Linked DNA regions of Caenorhabditis elegans. The protein of the gene in region 4 purifies or fractionates together with the protein of the main gene of each other region. This does not show direct contact. Each region holds a gene or a part of one and is shown on either strand. Other genes may lie near its edges. The genes, in order: arf-1, pinn-1, pqn-74 and ttr-5.

The links.
Region 1: the proteins of ttr-5 (region 4) and arf-1 fractionate together in Caenorhabditis elegans (co-fractionation; one large-scale study listed by BioGRID). This does not show direct contact.
Region 2: the proteins of ttr-5 (region 4) and pinn-1 fractionate together in Caenorhabditis elegans (co-fractionation; one large-scale study listed by BioGRID). This does not show direct contact.
Region 3: the proteins of ttr-5 (region 4) and pqn-74 fractionate together in Caenorhabditis elegans (co-fractionation; one large-scale study listed by BioGRID). This does not show direct contact.

What each region holds. Positions count from the first base shown.
Region 1 is NC_003281.10:5,714,516-5,718,088, reverse strand, and holds arf-1 (ADP-ribosylation factor 1-like 2), read right to left. Parts: upstream 1,975-3,573; 5' UTR 1,974-1,974; coding exon 1,826-1,973; intron 1,753-1,825; coding exon 1,642-1,752; intron 1,543-1,641; coding exon 1,334-1,542; intron 1,249-1,333; coding exon 1,171-1,248; 3' UTR 545-1,170; downstream 1-544. UniProt on the Caenorhabditis elegans protein: Small GTPase involved in protein trafficking between different compartments. Modulates vesicle budding and uncoating within the Golgi complex. In its GTP-bound form, triggers the recruitment of coatomer proteins to the Golgi membrane.
Region 2 is NC_003280.10:2,884,951-2,890,513, forward strand, and holds pinn-1 (Peptidyl-prolyl cis-trans isomerase), read right to left. Parts: upstream 4,058-5,563; 5' UTR 4,056-4,057; coding exon 4,001-4,055; intron 3,954-4,000; coding exon 3,880-3,953; intron 3,772-3,879; coding exon 3,645-3,771; intron 2,415-3,644; coding exon 2,308-2,414; intron 1,565-2,307; coding exon 1,442-1,564; 3' UTR 564-1,441; downstream 1-563. Other genes in the region: Beta-1,3-galactosyltransferase sqv-2, read right to left, coding at 4,272-4,353.
Region 3 is NC_003282.8:13,328,964-13,333,407, reverse strand, and holds pqn-74 (Chitin-binding type-2 domain-containing protein), read left to right. Parts: upstream 1-2,001; 5' UTR 2,002-2,034; coding exon 2,035-2,077; intron 2,078-2,157; exon of another isoform or gene 2,158-2,159; coding exon 2,160-2,316; intron 2,317-2,374; coding exon 2,375-2,477; intron 2,478-2,529; coding exon 2,530-3,001; intron 3,002-3,050; coding exon 3,051-3,424; intron 3,425-3,580; coding exon 3,581-3,625; 3' UTR 3,626-3,901; downstream 3,902-4,444.
Region 4 is NC_003281.10:9,328,537-9,331,434, reverse strand, and holds ttr-5 (Transthyretin-like protein 5), read right to left. Parts: upstream 1,120-2,898; 5' UTR 1,119-1,119; coding exon 974-1,118; intron 929-973; coding exon 792-928; intron 747-791; coding exon 690-746; intron 642-689; coding exon 561-641; 3' UTR 507-560; downstream 1-506. Other genes in the region: cepr-104.1 (CEntrosomal Protein Related), read left to right, coding at 2,069-2,229, 2,347-2,898.

The DNA.
Region 1 (3,573 bases), 3.6 Mb from region 4:
GAATTGGAATACGTCTGGGAATAGTATCAGGGTACATTAGAAGCACTGTAGGATTACTGTATTTTCAGTGTATTACGTGAACACTGAGAATGCGCATTGAGCAACATGTTCGACGCGCAAAATATCTCGTAGCGAAAACTACAGTAATTCTCTAAATGACTACTGTTGCGCTTGTGTCGATTTACGGGCTCGATTTTAGAACATAATTTATTTTCGAATTGTGACCGAAATATTTGAATTTCATCCTATTTTTCTTTTTTCTGTCATTCCGAGTCAAAAAGTGAAAAAGAACAAAGCAAAATCAGACCATGGCTACAGTAGTAATGTAAATAATTTCTGTATTTTTCGCTACGTGATATCTGTGCGCCAGACAAGTTGCACAATACGAAATTCCAGAATTTAGTTTTTCCGTATTAAAAATTTTTGCACATAGTATAACGCCTCATGTGTTAATAAATTACCCTTAAAAATTAACATTTCTTGTCCAAATTGAGGAAAAAGATCATTTTCATACTTTCATATTGTCATTATCAACAGGTGAATATAACATAATAATTTACTCCACGACAAAAAAAATGGTGAATATGATACTATAATACGGAAAAATTGAGGAAAAGCAAAACAGTGTTCGATACGAAATAGAAGAGAAGCGAAATTAAAGGTTCGAGGGGAAGGGAACGATGAAAACGAGATTTGTGTGTAGGTTTGTGTGCAATTACGCGCAAAAATCACAAAAATAGAATAATGGTTCAACAAGAGAAGAGAAACACGTTCATACTTCTTCTCGTTACACAACACTGTTTCAGGGAATATTTGAGGGAGATGGAGGGCGGAGCAGGTCAAAAATGGAGAGAAAAACAATGAATAACTTACATATTATTCCCGTCAGGAGCGGTTCCAAATGTAATCGGATAAGAAAAAATGTCGGATTTGGAAGTTAAGAAGAAATAGACGACAAATGAATTGGGGCTTTAAATAAAAATTGGGTTGAAAAAGTAGAAGAGGGCGATGGTGATCAAATTAAAAAGCCTAAGGGATGGGAGAGGGAATTTCAAATGGAACAGAGAAGAACAAAGAGAATGAATGGGGAGAAGAAAGGAGTTGAAACGAATAACAAAAACGGATGATTCGTAGTCGTTTATTCGTCGAAGGTGGATTCAGAAAAATGATTTAAGATCTATTCTTGAGCTGGTTGCTGAGCCAATCGAGTCCTTCATAGAGACCATCTCCTGATGTCGCACATGTGGCCTGGAATTAATTTATTATTGAAAAATAGTGAATTTCTTTAGTTTTAAAATATCAGATGAGAAACTGCTGATTAAAAATATCTCACCTGAATATACCACGATCGATTTCTGAGCGAGTGGAGCCCGAGCTTGTCAGTGACCTCAGCGGCGTTCATGGCTTGTGGAAGATCTTGTTTGTTGGCGAAGACCAGAAGAACGGCATCACGAAGCTCATCCTCGGCGAGCATACGCATCAGCTCTTCACGAGCCTCTCCAACACGTTCACGATCGTTGGAATCAACAACAAAGATAAGTCCTGCAAGAAAATATAATCAATAGAGCATTTTTTTTGGACAGTCTGTGAATTCTTGCGGGTGATAAGCTGATCCGCAAACTATTCTCGTAAATCACTAACCTTGTGTGTTCTGGAAATAATGCCTCCAGAGTGGACGGATCTTGTCCTGACCTCCGACATCCCACACGGTGAATGAAATGTTCTTGTATTCGACAGTCTCCACGTTGAATCCTGAAATATGAATAAAAATTATGACTCATTGTGAACCGTTCTTTCGCAACAAAAAAACGTCCCAATGACTCACCAATAGTTGGGATAGTCGTGACAATCTCGCCCAGCTTCAACTTGTACAAAATCGTAGTCTTTCCGGCAGCATCCAATCCAACCATCAGAATACGCATCTCCCGTTTGCCGAAGAGGCCTTTAAATAAGCTGCCGAACACGTTTCCCATTCTATAAATTGATTAATAAATTAAATTATTGAATTTCAGAAGAGGAACCGATGGAAGTGAAAAGGAACGCTAATAAAATGTGAAAGCTGAATCAATAATCTTCGTGGGAAATTGCGAAAAATTCGGGAAGATTTCAAATCCAATACGTGAAAATGCCAGCAACGACAATCGGAGAAAAAAGTACGGAAGACGATTGGAAGGAGGAAGAATCGGGTAAAACGTGGCAAGGAGATGGATATCTATAACAGGCGCAAGGAGCGAGAATCCAGCAGAAATACATCGGCTACACCGTCCAACGTGTCACTAGCACAGCAGTCTCTGGCGACCAGTGGAGTGTCTCTTCCTCTCTCAACCTCTCGACGCTGCTTTTTGTCTTGTTCGCTGGGCGCGTCGCGTGCGTTGCGCAGCGGTCGAATAAGAGGAGATAGATGGCAATAAGTGAAGAGACCGAGACGTGAAAGTACCGCAAGAGATGAGGAGAGAGCGAAAAAGAACAAGAGACCGTCCAAATTTGTCCGCTAGTGCAGGACGGAAGGATGAAGAACACATACACACAGGAACGAGAATAGTAATGTTCGAGTTCCTTCTACTGACTCCACGTCAGCCGTACGTTGAATCTTTCAATCCTTCAGTGAAATCTTGATTGATTGATTGAATGAACCCGAAAGTTCTAAAATTTGAACTTTGAAACAAACTTTTTCGAGTGATAAGACGATAAACTGCAACATTAAGAAAGTGATGAAAAATGCTTTTTGAGAGAAGAAAAACCTATTGAACGCGAGCGCATTGTTGAGAAATTTTGAAAATCGTGACGCAATTAAAAACTCTGAAAAAAGGACACGTGTCACAAGAGTGCAGCACGAGATACTGTGACTAATAAATAGAATCAGATGAGAAAATTAATATTAAATCAAATACAAAGCGCCAAACTTTCTAAATAGATGACCCGCATTTCCGACTAAAGCAATGTGGCGCTTCTGAAGAATGTGCTGGAGAAAAATGAAAGCTTAATAGAAACCGGCCGCCGCAGACAGTATAGATCAATGCCTTTGCGCCAATCTAGGATAGTTCATCTTTCCGCCTTTCAAAATGCCGAGAATTTCTTACTTTCTGCAGTAATTATTAGGAGTCACAAACCTTGATTTTCGAGCTTTTTGCGTTCAAATTCGGAAATAAATGAAATGACGATCAAATCAAAGATAAAATGTGACGATTGCAACGTCGAAGCAAGAAAAATTGGAGGAATAAAGTTAAGAAAGAACAAAGAAAAAAAAAATTAAAATCATTTATTTTCTGGCAATTCACGGCTAAATACGACGAAAACACACCGGTTTCCGCAAAAATACCTGTGTTTTATTGAAAATTAACTCGTTTTTTACTCGTCACTCGGGAGGGGCTCTTTTTGTACTCGTTCACTTTTCAGTGGCCCGTCTTTTATTCTTTCGCTGATTTTTTTTCGAGATCACAGCCATTATGTATTCTTTTACTTTATTTTTCTCATTTAGTGGAGTTATTGCTCTCTTTTGCTCTTTTTTGCTGGCTTTTTCATCAATGAGATATATCGATAGAAATAATGCAAACAACAAAAATGAACGAAAAA
Region 2 (5,563 bases), on a different chromosome or scaffold from region 4:
TTTGAAAAAAAAAATTTTTTTTTTGAGTGTTTTTTAAACTGAAATTCCTTAAATTTTAGGCAGTTTTCAGCAAATTTTATTCAAAAAATAACAAAAATCTGTTAAATACCTTTTTTTTTAATTAAAAACAATTCTGAAAAAAACCTAATTTTTTCAGACATTTTCTGCCAGTTTTTTCTGAAAATTCATAATTTTTAAAAGTATTTTTATCGAACTTTATTCCAAACTGAATGAAAATATAATTTTTAAAATTAATTTCAGACAAAAATTTGAAAAAAAATAACTTTCGAAATTTTTTTTTTCAGAAAAAAAATTCAAAAAATGGTTTTATTTTTCAAATTTTCATTTAAAAATTCTTTAAAAGATTTTTTCAATTTTTTCAGAAACATTATTTAAAAAAAACGATTTTTTTCAAAATTACAGAGAAAAAATCAAAAATATTTTTTTCAAAAAATTTTCTAAAAATATCTTATTATCTGTGAAAATCACTAAAAAATTTTTTTTTTTAATTAAAAAAAAATTCCATTAGGGCTGAGACCCATATATTCCACAAAAAAATGAAAAAAAAATTTTCATCGAAAAAAAAATACTATATGGAAATTTAATCAAAGGTACATTTTGCAAATAAAATTCAAAAAAAAAGTAGAGAGCGAAAAATGGGGGAAAAACTGAGATATCTGGAGGAATAGCAGCGGAAAAATCAATAAATTATCGACTTTTCAATTTAAAAAATCAATAAAATATCGATTTTTTAGGGAAAATGGTCAAAAATCGATAGATTATCGATTTTTTAGTGAAAATACTGAAAAAATCAATAAATTATCATTTTTCGCGGAGAATTTCAAAAAAAAAATCAATTTTTTTAGTCCAAAAAAAATCATTAAAATATCGAATTTTTAGTAAAAATTCTTTTAAAAAACGATTTTTCAATAAAAAATCAATAAATTATCGATTTTTCAGTGAAAATGGTCAAAAATCGATTTTTTAGTGTGAAAACTCTCAATAAAATCAATAAGTTATCGATTTTTCAATAAAAAAAATCAATAAAATATCGATTTTTTAGTGAAAATTCTATAAAAACCGATTTTTCAATTAAAAAAATCAATAAATTATCGATTTTTTAGTGTGAAAACTCTCGATAAAATCAATAAAATATCGATTTTTCAGTGAAAATACCGAAAAAAAAAATCGATTTTTCAATAAAAAATCAATAAAATATCGATTTTTAGGGAAAATTCTTTAAAAAAATCGATTTTTCAATAAAAAAATCAATAAATTATCGATTTTTCAGTGAAAATTCTATTAAAAATTGATTTTTCAATAAAAAAATCAATAAATTATCGATTTTTCCAAGAAAATGGTCAGAAAATCAATAAAATATCGATTTTTAGTAAAAATACTGAAGAAAAAAAACAATAAAATATCGATTTTTCCAGGCAATTTATTTGATACGATAGATGAGATGAACACCGGATGAAGTATCCACAATATCAGACATTTCTCCAATTTCCAGTGCAAATGAGGCGTCTTCGAATGGTTTCTGCATTTGACGACGTTCGAATGGCTGAAAATTTTAGAGTTTTTGGGTTTTTTGGGGTGAAAAAATCGATATTTTTGAAGATTTTTTGGAGGTGAAATTAGCTGAAATTGCAGGTTTTTAGGCGAAAAATTGACCTTTTTTCAAGTTTTTAGAGGAAAAATTGGTAAAAATGAATTTTTTCGCAGTTTTTCACGCAAATTTATAGCTAAAATATTATATTAAAATTGATTTTTTTTCCCTGATTTTCAGGGTAATTTTACAGGCAATTTTTCGTGATTTTGTCATAAAATTCGAAGAAAAATTGTATTTTTCGGAGCATTTTAAGGGTAATTTTGATATTTTTAATTTTTGAACATTTTTTTGTGAATTTTTGATAGCAATTTACAAAAAAAACAAAGTTTTCCGTGAAAATCGATTTTTTTTCAGACTTTCGGAGATTTTTCAGGTTTTTCATATTAAAATCCAAGAAAATTGGGGCTCTTTTTGACGCTTTTTCAATAATTTTAACAGTTTTCAATGGATTTTCGACAAAAATCGGACGTTTTTGAGCTTTTTTCACCCGAAATTCGACAGTTTTCTGGGCATTTTTCACTTTTTAGAGGTTTTTAGGCTTTTTTTCAGCTATAAAATCGAAGGAAAATTGTATTTTTGAAGCTTTTTCACACAAAAATTTCAGGAAAAACGACATTTTTCAACAAAATTTGAACTTTTCAGGGCAAAAATTTGCGTTTTTTCGGTACTTTTCCTCCGCCCGGCGGTTACAGTACCCCAAGATCTCCGCCACGTTTTGCCGAACTGCAATCGCTGAATTGTTTGGCGAGTTCACGGAATTTTCCCTCAATGTTCGACGCATCTTTCAGCTCCTTTTCGTAATCTGAATGAAAAAATATTGATTTTTAGACCAAAAATTCCGATTTTTTAGCTTAAAAATCATTGAAAAATTGGAAAATTCGGCGAAAATATACTTTTTCTGTCGAAAAATCGAAAAATAGAGCTATTTTTCGATTTTTTTTTTAGTAAAAAACCTGCAAAATGCAGTTTTTAGCCGATTTTAGACACAAAAATGAAGAAAAATCGATGATGAAATCCAATTTTTCGGCTAAATGTGAGAAAATCCGCAATTTTCAGCAAAAACCCGGGGAAAATCGATTTTTAGCGCTGAAAATTGAATTTCCGCGCGAATTTTTAGGTTTTTACTGTGAAAATGGGTGATTTAGAGCTTTTTTGGCCATTTTTCCGCGAAAATGCCAGATTTTAGGCTGAAAATTAAGAAAACGTCGATAAAAATCATTTTTTCTGGAATTTTTGCGGCTAAAATTCAGGAAATTGGCAATTTTCGGCTCATTACTCTGAAAAATCAAAATGTTTCTCGGTTTTTCAAGTGATTTTTAAGGAAAAAATGCGAAAAACCGCAAATTTCCCGAAATTCTCGTTTTTTTTATACAATTTTTAGTCAAAAATTTCATTTTTTTAAAGCAAAAAACGGCAATTTTAGTGCTTTTTTCGGACAAAAACGGTGAAAAACTGACTGAAATGCCGATTTTAGGCTGAAAAATGAAGAAAAATCGATTAAAAACCCATTTTTCCGGGTAAAATTAGAGAAAATCGCATTTTTTTGGGATTTTTGAGAACCAATTTTTCATAATAAAAAACAATTTTTAGTGCTGAAAATCCGCATTTTGGGGGTTTAAAATGTGAAAAATCCGGATTTTTCCGAGAAAAATTTAGTATTTGAGCTAAACAGCCGAAAAACTTGCCATTTTCATGAAAATTTCACTAATTTTCCGCTAAAAATCAGAAAATTGGCAATTTTCGGGTTAAAACTCTAAAAAATCGTAATTTTTCGGGGTTTCAACGCGATTTTTCAATTAAAAATCGGTTTTTTGCGCGGAAAATTGGTCAAAAATCAGAGAATTTGCTTTTTTAAGAAATTTTCTCGAGAAAAATCGAAAATTTCGGCTAAAAATTAAATTTCCGCACGGTTTTTCAGGTTTTTAATATAAAAAATTGGCGAAAATCCGGTTTTTTTGGCATTTTTTACAGGAAAAACACGTTTTTCGAGCTAAAAAATCCGATTTTTCACGAAAATTCCGCAAATCCGCACTTTTGAGGATGTTAATCGCGTCATCCTTGGATCTTGTGATGTGATCGGACCGCCAAGACGATGGATTACGGCTTCCATCGTGTTTTACGAGCAAATGAAGGCATTGGACGGATTTTAGCTCGCTTCCCTGGAAAAATATCGATTTTTGCGGGGTTTTTGGGTGAAAAAACGCGAAAAATCACGAATTTTGAGTGATTTTGAGCGAAAAATCAGCTAAAAATTGCCATTTTCTCACTTTTCCAAACGCCGACTCGTCTGGGCGCTCCCATTGGCTGCGGCCGGTGGCCGTGTTGAAGTAGTAGACGCGATCTGGAAAAATTATCGATTTTTTTCGCAGAATTTCGCGAATTTCCAACCATTCGAGCGGCTCTGACGCTTTTCCCATCCGGCTGGCAGCGAATTATCGGACATCTGTGAGAATGTATGGGTTTTTCTGGGGATTTTGCGTAAAAATAGGTATTTCTGGGAAAAATCAACGATTTTTCGGGGGGAAAAATGAATAAAATCGGTTTAAATGTGGAAAAATGCAATATTTATACGAGAAAGACAATTATTATGCGCGGAAAAACCGTAGAAATCTGGAAAATTGGCCCGTATTCAGTAAAAAATGCGATAAAATGCAATAAATTATGGAATATTCGATCCGTTGACTCTTGTACAACATTCGCTGGGTGCTTTCGAGAAATCGTACACGTAGGATGGATGTTTTCTGCAAGAAATTGGTTAAAAATTGGTGAAAAATGATGGAAATTGATTAACGCGGCCGAGAAATCGATTTTAGGCAAGCGCGCTCTATGGAGAATCGGTCGTCGCGGCCACGGAGTCCTCTCGGAGAAGAGGTGAATTAATAATTTCGCGAATTTCGCATAATTTTGGCGATTAAAAGGGGTTTTTGCAGGTTATTTCCGGTTTTTCGATGGGAAAATTGATGAAAATTGCATTTTAAATACGAATCCAGCAAAAAACAAGCGAAAATTCGATTTTTTCGCTGTTTTTTCCCGAGAAACTTCGAAAATGGCTTAATGTTTCGCCGACTTTCTAAAAAATCGGCCTATAAATGCGAATTTTGCAATTTTTCGAGTGATTTGGCGCAATTTTCGCACGAAAAATCAGTTTTTTGGTCGAAAAATGGAAAAATTGGCAAAAAATTGGAATTTTTCGGGGTTTTGTACAAGAATGTCGAAAATTGGACGATTTTCGGTAAAAATCGACCATTTTTATCCGATTTTTCCAATTTTCCGGCCGATTTTAACACAAAAATCTGGTTTTTTTGCGGAAAAACCCAGAAAATGGCCAAAAATGGGTAAAAATTGCGAATTTTCTAATTTGTCCAGCAGATTTTGGCAATTTTTAGGCAAAAATCTGAGAAAATAGCTTTAAAAAATTGGTGAAACTTGTGAATTTTCTAATTATCCGAGCGATTTGGCAGTTTTAGGCTAAATTTCGGTTTTTTGGGCTGAAAATTGGTGAAAATTGCGATTTGTCCAATTTTCCGGGAGATTTTGACGATTTTTTTACTAAAAAAACCCAAAAAATTAGCGAATCCGGGGCAATTTTTTCGCATTTTTCACAAAATCGGCTTAAAAATTTCCGAAAAAAAAGGCGATTTTTCTAATTTTTCGAGCGATTTCATGGGTTTTTTTTGGTGGAAAAATCCAAAATTTGGCGTAAAAATTTTGTCAAAAAATTCAGTTTTTCGAAAAATGGACCATTTTTTCCGATTTTTCTTAGGAAAAAGTGAATTTTCCAATTTTCCGGGCGATTTTGACGATTTTTAAACCAAAAATTCAATTTTTTTTTGTTTTTAAATTCAAAAAATCCAAAATTTTAAGGCTAAATCCTTTAATGTTAAGGCCAAAATTTTGATTTTTAGGCCAAAAAATCAAAATTATTTTTAAAAAATCTTAAAATTTTTTTTT
Region 3 (4,444 bases), on a different chromosome or scaffold from region 4:
TCAAAGATTGCTCAACGTGAGTCTAAAGACAATGATCTGAACACAGAGAGGATACTACCTGTGTCAGATAATCTTGTTCACAGATAAATGAGTGCCAATGCATGGTGCATCGAGAGATAAAGAAAAAGAGATGGCACTTGACGGAGCCGCCGCCGCGAGCACATGGATGACCGAGTTGTGCCGCGCGGGCGCGCGGATCTCTCTCTCCAAGATATCATTTTCGTTGTTCTCTTCTCACAATCCAACAGGAGCAACAAGCAACATACATACCCCCATACACAAACGGACCCGTTAGACTGTTGAAAAACCAACGAATAGAGTCACTCAACACACATTGTTCGCCTCCCCCCTCCTCACTTGCTCAACTGATGCTTCTTATTGCTCCCAACGGACGATTGGAAGGGCAAACTGGAATAAGATGATGCGCAGGAGAAGCACATGCGGACGAGACGCGGCGTCAACGAGCTCGCGCCCTCCCTCCTTCCTCCCCTCACCAACCTTTTTTTCAATTCTTCACTAATTGTTAGACAGGAGGGGTGGATATATGAAGTGCATATTATACGTACATCGGATACACACTGAGAACTAGGCGACGGGGGGGGGGGGGTGTTCTTCGGAGACCAGAGATTACGGGAAACCGATCCGTGTCTGGAACTTTGGGGGCACGAAAGAAACTTGAGAGAACAGGCTCTAATTGTAGAGCACATGCATGTCATACAGCGAACATGTTTGAAGTTTTGAATACAATTGATATACAAGTTAAATAAGCAGCGGACATCAATCCAGGTTCGCTATTGAAACGTGTGCCAGATTTTCACAAAGTTCGCCTAATTTGAGCACAATGTAAACGAACATCCGAAAAGTTCTCAATGTGCACTGACTAGGTCTGAACATCGAAAAATCGAGTTTTTACGCATTTTTTTCAATTGCCGGAAAATTTCAGTTTTGCAAAAAATATTTCAAGATTTTTTTCCTGAAAAAAATCAAAAAAAATCTGAAAGAATAGCGTTACGTCTCCATGGGTTTCCGAGACGAACAAAATTTTTTTCTATATGAGCGTGCGCTACAGTAACCCGCTCTTTTTTTTGGGGGATTTTTCAAAAACGTTTTTCTACAGAATAATATTTTGAAGAAAAAATGGGCAGTACTTCTTACTGTACTTCTGTACTTCTTAACGGCGCAGATACTTTTTGCGCGACCTCAATTTGAAAATATTAAGTTCGCTTTGAGAGTAGATCCTGTAAAAATTAAGCGTACTGTAGATTTTTTAAACATTTTAAAATCGCTTTTATAATCATCAGAAACAACAATTATCCATTTTTACGAGCGAAAATTGGCAATTTTAGACGATTCAAAAATTTTTGCAATATTTCATTTAAATTCCCAAATAATTTTTATGAATTGTGAAGTGATTTTGTACCGTAACCTTTTGTTTCCAGCTATCAAAAATGATGCAAATCAGAGAGAAAAGCTCAAGTAGAACGACACAAATAAACTTGAGTCAACAAGAACCAAAAGATGAAATATCTAGCGTCTAGAAGCTTCTTTTCCCATAACCTTCGGCCTTGCTTGACGCCGCAAAGCCAAAAAAGAGACTTGTAGTAGTGTAAGAGAACCAACTACTTAAACGGTTTCTGCGAAAGCATGCTCGAGTACACTACTGTCTGTAGTAAGTTGCCAATTTGCACGGACACACGGGTTTTGTTTGTTTACTCTGACAAACACAGTTTTTGATTTTCAAAAAATATGAACATAGAAAGCAAGAGAGAAGAGAGGGGGTATCAATTCCTATTGTAATCTTGTTAATCTATTTACAAGTATTCGCGGTGAGAAGTGGGTCGACGGGTGCGCGTGCGCTCCTCTCTCCGCATGCCATTCCACTGATGAGTTCCGGATTAGGGCGGGCTGAGAGAACCGCCTACTTCGGAGAGGGCGCGGGAGCCCTCCCCAGGTGTGCTCCAGAGCCAAATCGTATAAAAGCGCGACGAGTTTGCCGATTGAGCATCACACTAGCTTCTTCTCACTCATACACACATGGCGCGCTTCCTCCTCATTATCGGATGCGCTACTCTCGCAGGTTTATCACTTTTTTCTGATTTTTTAACAATTTTAACATTTTGTTTCATTCTTCCTTGATAACCTTTTCCATTTTCTTATAGCTCTCGCATCTTGCGAATCCAAGAGTGGTGAGGAAACTCCACAATACTGGAGAGCCATTCTTGGTGATATCTGCCAATTGCCATCGTTCCCTAGAGCCACTGGTGATCCAACCCGTTATGTTGAATGTGTTCGTCAATCCTCATTTGCTGCCGATAGGTAAGCCATTTTGATACTGAATACCTTTTTACCTTCATCCGCCTTCTCACATTTCCAGAAAAGATCTCGGAATCTGGCTTCTTCGTGAATGCCTCCCAGGATACGAGTTTGTTGCCTCCGCTCGCCGTTGTAAGACTGTCCGTTCTGTCAACAAACAACAAGTAATCCTTTACCTTTCACTCTTCAACCTTTTGTTTATCTTCTTGTTTATAGGAACTTTGCGAGTCTGCCAATGCCACCGAGTACAACTTCTGCCCAACTGCCTCGGCCATGCAATTCCTCGTTGAGGAGACCCGTGAGGCTCCAAGACAGTGCGCCTGTCCAAATGGAGAGCAAAACTGTGTCTGCCCATCGCCGGAAATCCTCGAGCCAATCTCTGCTGTCAAGAAGGTCCGCAGATCTGCCCAGCAACAGCCATTGAGATTCTCCCAATACCCATCATGCCCATGCCCACAGAACCAACCAGCCTGCACATGCTCTACCAACAATCAGCAGAATGAGCAGATCCTTGTCTCCATCTCCTGCTGCCAACAACAAGAGACCACCACCCAGGCTCCAGTTCAGATGCAACCATGCCAGTGCACCCCAACCCAAATTCAACAGAACTGCCAAACCACAACCACCCAGCAACAATACTGCCCACAACAATCTGCTCCAGTTGTCCAGCCACAGCCATGCCCACTCGGTAAGATCTTATGGTTCTAGAATCTACAATCTAAACCTTTCTATTTCAGTCCAAGGATCCGGAGTTCAAAACGCTCAATACCAAGGAATCTGCTCATGGATGATCGACCCACTTGCCACTGACCCACAATCCCGCACTCACTACCTTCAATGCCAGCCAGCTCCAAACAACTTGTTCTGCGGAAGATGGCAACGTATGCCATGTGCCCCAGGAACCGTCTTCGACGTCCAATCCCAAGTCTGCGTCTGGGACACCAACAGCCAGCCAGGAACTCTTCCAACTCCAGCCCCATACGTCTCCACCCAGGCTCCACAGAACGCTCAATGCGGATGCACCGGAGGAGTTCAAATCGGATCATGCAACCAAAACTACCAGTGCCCAGGACAATCGGTCTGCCAAGTCGGACAAAATGCCGGACAACAGGTAAGAGAGTAGTGTCTAGAAGCAAGAGATCGGCAACCAATTCAACCGGTTTCCGTTCTTGTGTGTGGCAATTGAGACGATTACAATAGGGACGGGGGTGTGTAAGAATGGGGAGGGAGGCTCGAATAGATCATAAGCAAACGAACACTCTTTCAGTGCATGGTTTGCTGCTACTTCCGCAAGAAGGCCCGTCGTTTCTAATCGATCGAACATCTCACACACATCATCATCGAACCAAAAACTGCTACAATCTTCTCGCCTTTTTGTATATACCGTGAAGAAAACAACAATCATGAAACGGATACGCATAGACAACCATAATTGTACCGCCTAGTTTGCCCTCACTTTTCCCCCGTCTTCCCCCAAATCCCCAATCCTTATTTGTATTCCGAATTGTCCAATGTCTAGGGTTTTCTCTCCAATGATAACTATTATATAACTTATGATGGTACTTCAATAAATATATATTTTCAATACTTTTCTGGTTTTTGTCTGATACCCCGGATTTGCAGTGATTTTAATGGTTTGTTCAAATATTTTAAACTCAAATACTTTGCTTATTGGAAAAATGTTTTCAACTAACAAAGTATTGACGAAAACTTTTTCTACACTTTGGATTTTTCAAAATTATACAACTCTGTTCCAGAAAAAAAGCTACAGCAGCTGACATCAGGCGGGTCGGTTTTTTTATTAGAATTTCCAAGTATCTAAACGCTTGGTGTTTTCATAAAACAAAGTTTAATAAGAAAATAATTTTCGCAGTTTTCTACTTTTTGCAATTTGTTTGTATTTCATATGAATCTCAAATTTCGAAATACATTTAATAAACATTTAAATTGTTATTGGTTTTTTAGTGGAGTACTTAAGCAATTATAGGAAGTGCAAATTGCAAAATGTAAAAAACTTTGTGGAGATAATTTTCTTAGTGTACCTTGTTTCATGAAAACACCTAATTTCAAAGGTACTTATTTTTAAATGACAACAAGCTTATTTTGGTAAAATAATTGAAAAAAAAACAAT
Region 4 (2,898 bases):
GAAGAGAATATTATATTTCAAAGTATTTAGATGCGTTTTTCCATTCTCTCACAATTCTATGCTTTAAATAACGTCAATATTTATAACTTTAAAAAAGAAAAAAGAAGACACAATAAAAAAGAATGCGTGTTGGCCAGTTTGTGCATTCCGACGTGGTGGTGTTTGCGGACATTACACCAAGTGACGGTACGAAAATTGTTGGCCGTAGTAGATTACTGTCGATATTAAAAAAATTCAATTCAATATCCAGCACAAATTGGTGGTATTTATAAAATTTACAACGATAATCTTCTAGGAATGATTTTAAATATTTCAATGAGTTTTTTAAAATTCGAAATCACGGATAAAATGTGTTTTCGAGGATTGCAGTATCCCCTGTGATTCTTGCACTATAGGGAAAATATCTATATTTATTGCATTCCTGAATATTCCAGTTATACTTTATTTTTATAGAAAATAGGATCGAAATGTTTTCTCTGAAAAATTTGAAGTTGCAATCCAAAATTGTTATTTTAAAAAGATTTATTTCAAGAAAAAAGAGTATATATAAGTTGGTAAGTTTAGTGAAGACAGTCACGTCCTTCTCCTGGGAAAGATCCAGCAAGTTGAATGACTCCGGCATCGTAAATATTACGGACAGTCTGAAAATATTAATTTCAGTTTACTTCCAGTTTTTTTAATCTTCTTACCTTTCCCTTGTTGATGTAGCTATCTGGGATCTTGATAGTGAACTTGCGTTGGCAGGGCTGAAAATTCAATTATCTTAAAATGTAATAAAGTCATCCAGAAACCTTAATTCCATCATTGCAGTCATGGTAAATGTTAAGTTTTGGGTCGATTGGAGTCACTTCATCTTCGTGTCCAGAAATTTCAAAATCTCCGTTGCCATTGGTCTTTCCAGAAGCCATCAAATCATCGGCATCGATTCCTAGAAATAGACTTTTAGGAAATATTCAAAAAAGTTTTTGATTACCTCTATCATCATCATACAACTTGACCAAAACTCCAACAGCTGGTTTTCCATTGCAGATCAGTTTTCCACGTACTCCAGCCGATTGGGTATTTCCAATTAAAGCATAGCTTGAGGCAACAAGGCACAAAAGGATTATAAGCTTCATTCTGAAATTCTTTTGTTGAGAACAAAATGATAAAGTAAAAAAGGCCGGGATGGAAGAATGGAACCAACAAAGAACCAATAGCTATGCTCTCAGAAAACAACATGTTTACGAAATCTCAGGAAAAGATAAGAAAAAGAAGATAATTCGGAAAAAAAGAGAGATTTGTTGTTATATATCTTTTTGATAAAAAAAAAGCTTGACAGAAAAGTGTGGTTGTAGTCCACAAATTGTATTAGTTTCCATGGAAAATAAGTAGATTTAATCAATTTATATACACCTGTACGAGAAAATATACTAAGAGATGATCTGATTATTTGTTACCTCAAAGTATATCATTTTCAAAACAAATGGTGTATCAGACAATTGTAAACAAGTCAAACACCAACTAATTCATTAAAAAACATAAAAAACAAAAGTGACCTTTCAATTAGAATCAAACAAGTAGTCATACCTGGGAAACTCTAGCCAGGAAAACGTATCCGAAACTGTATGAAAAAAAATACAAAGAGAACAAACTCAATAAGATATGCCAAAGGTTGATGTCAACATTATGACCAAAACCTAAAAACAAACATCCGGCAAAGAGAAAGGTCAGAATAGGCATGTACGAAGGTAAATGGTTAACATGCAGGCTCTTAGGTAGACAGACCCACGATCATCATATTTCCCAACTAACATTCTTATTTACATGCCTGTTGCATGCCTTCCTTACGCCTGAAAGTGTTTAATTGAAGAATGTATTACTCAAAACACCTGCTTTCCTTTAACCTTCGATATAATTTTTGTTTAGTATATTTGTTTCTTTTCAACATTTCATTATTCTCCTTTCCATAGTAACACACCCAACAAAAAAAATGTAAAGAAAAGGGAATTATAGATTAGCTCCAAGCATCGTCCTTCTTTCCAAACTTTCTTCAAAATATTTTTTTACAACTATTATTCTTCCCCCAATGTCGTCATCTAGGAACTTTGATCTGGAGTACGACGATTACAAAGAACGACGGAATGCTGCTGGAATGGGAAGTCGTGCGAGCTCGAGGAATGGTGGAAGATTCAAGCCAATAGACAAAGAAAAAGAAAAAGAGAAGAAAGAGATTGGAGATTATGGATTGTAAGTACTTTTTTGATTTCTGGATTCATTGTCAGAAGTCAGTTGTATTAATAGCTTTCAAAATCCTAGACATCGTGCAGTTTTTCATGATCCGTTACCTCACTAGATACCTTGCAGACCCAAAAATGAGTATAAAATGCAAGGCTACGACGAACGGAGCTCAGATGTTGGAGCCGATCCATTGGCATCAGTCCGAACTCTCCGTAACAATCTCCGAGTCATGTCCCTTGAGCATCGTGACAAGGACGAACCTGTCAAATCACATTTGTGCCAATCAGCTTGTGATGATCTATCAAAAGCCGAGAAACAACTTGTCGATTTGAGTCACAAGAGAAGCGACGCAGTTGTCAGAGGAGACTCACGGCAGGCTGAACAGATAGCAAAGGATATGGATAGAGTGAAGTCTGATGCAATCAGAAATGCATATTCAGATTTAATGATGGAAGATGGAACTATGAAAGCATTTGGAGTCAATTCAAAATGGACACCTGATAAGAATCCAATGCCATCAGATGATTGGAAGCCAATGACACCTATGAAACCTAGGAAAAGAGCTGAAACACCAAAAGGAAGAAAAACTGAAAGTAGGCAAAGTAACAGAGGAAATAATGATAATGGAGATCAAAGAATGACGTCAAAGGCAACCACAAGATCCCCAGAACGGAGAGT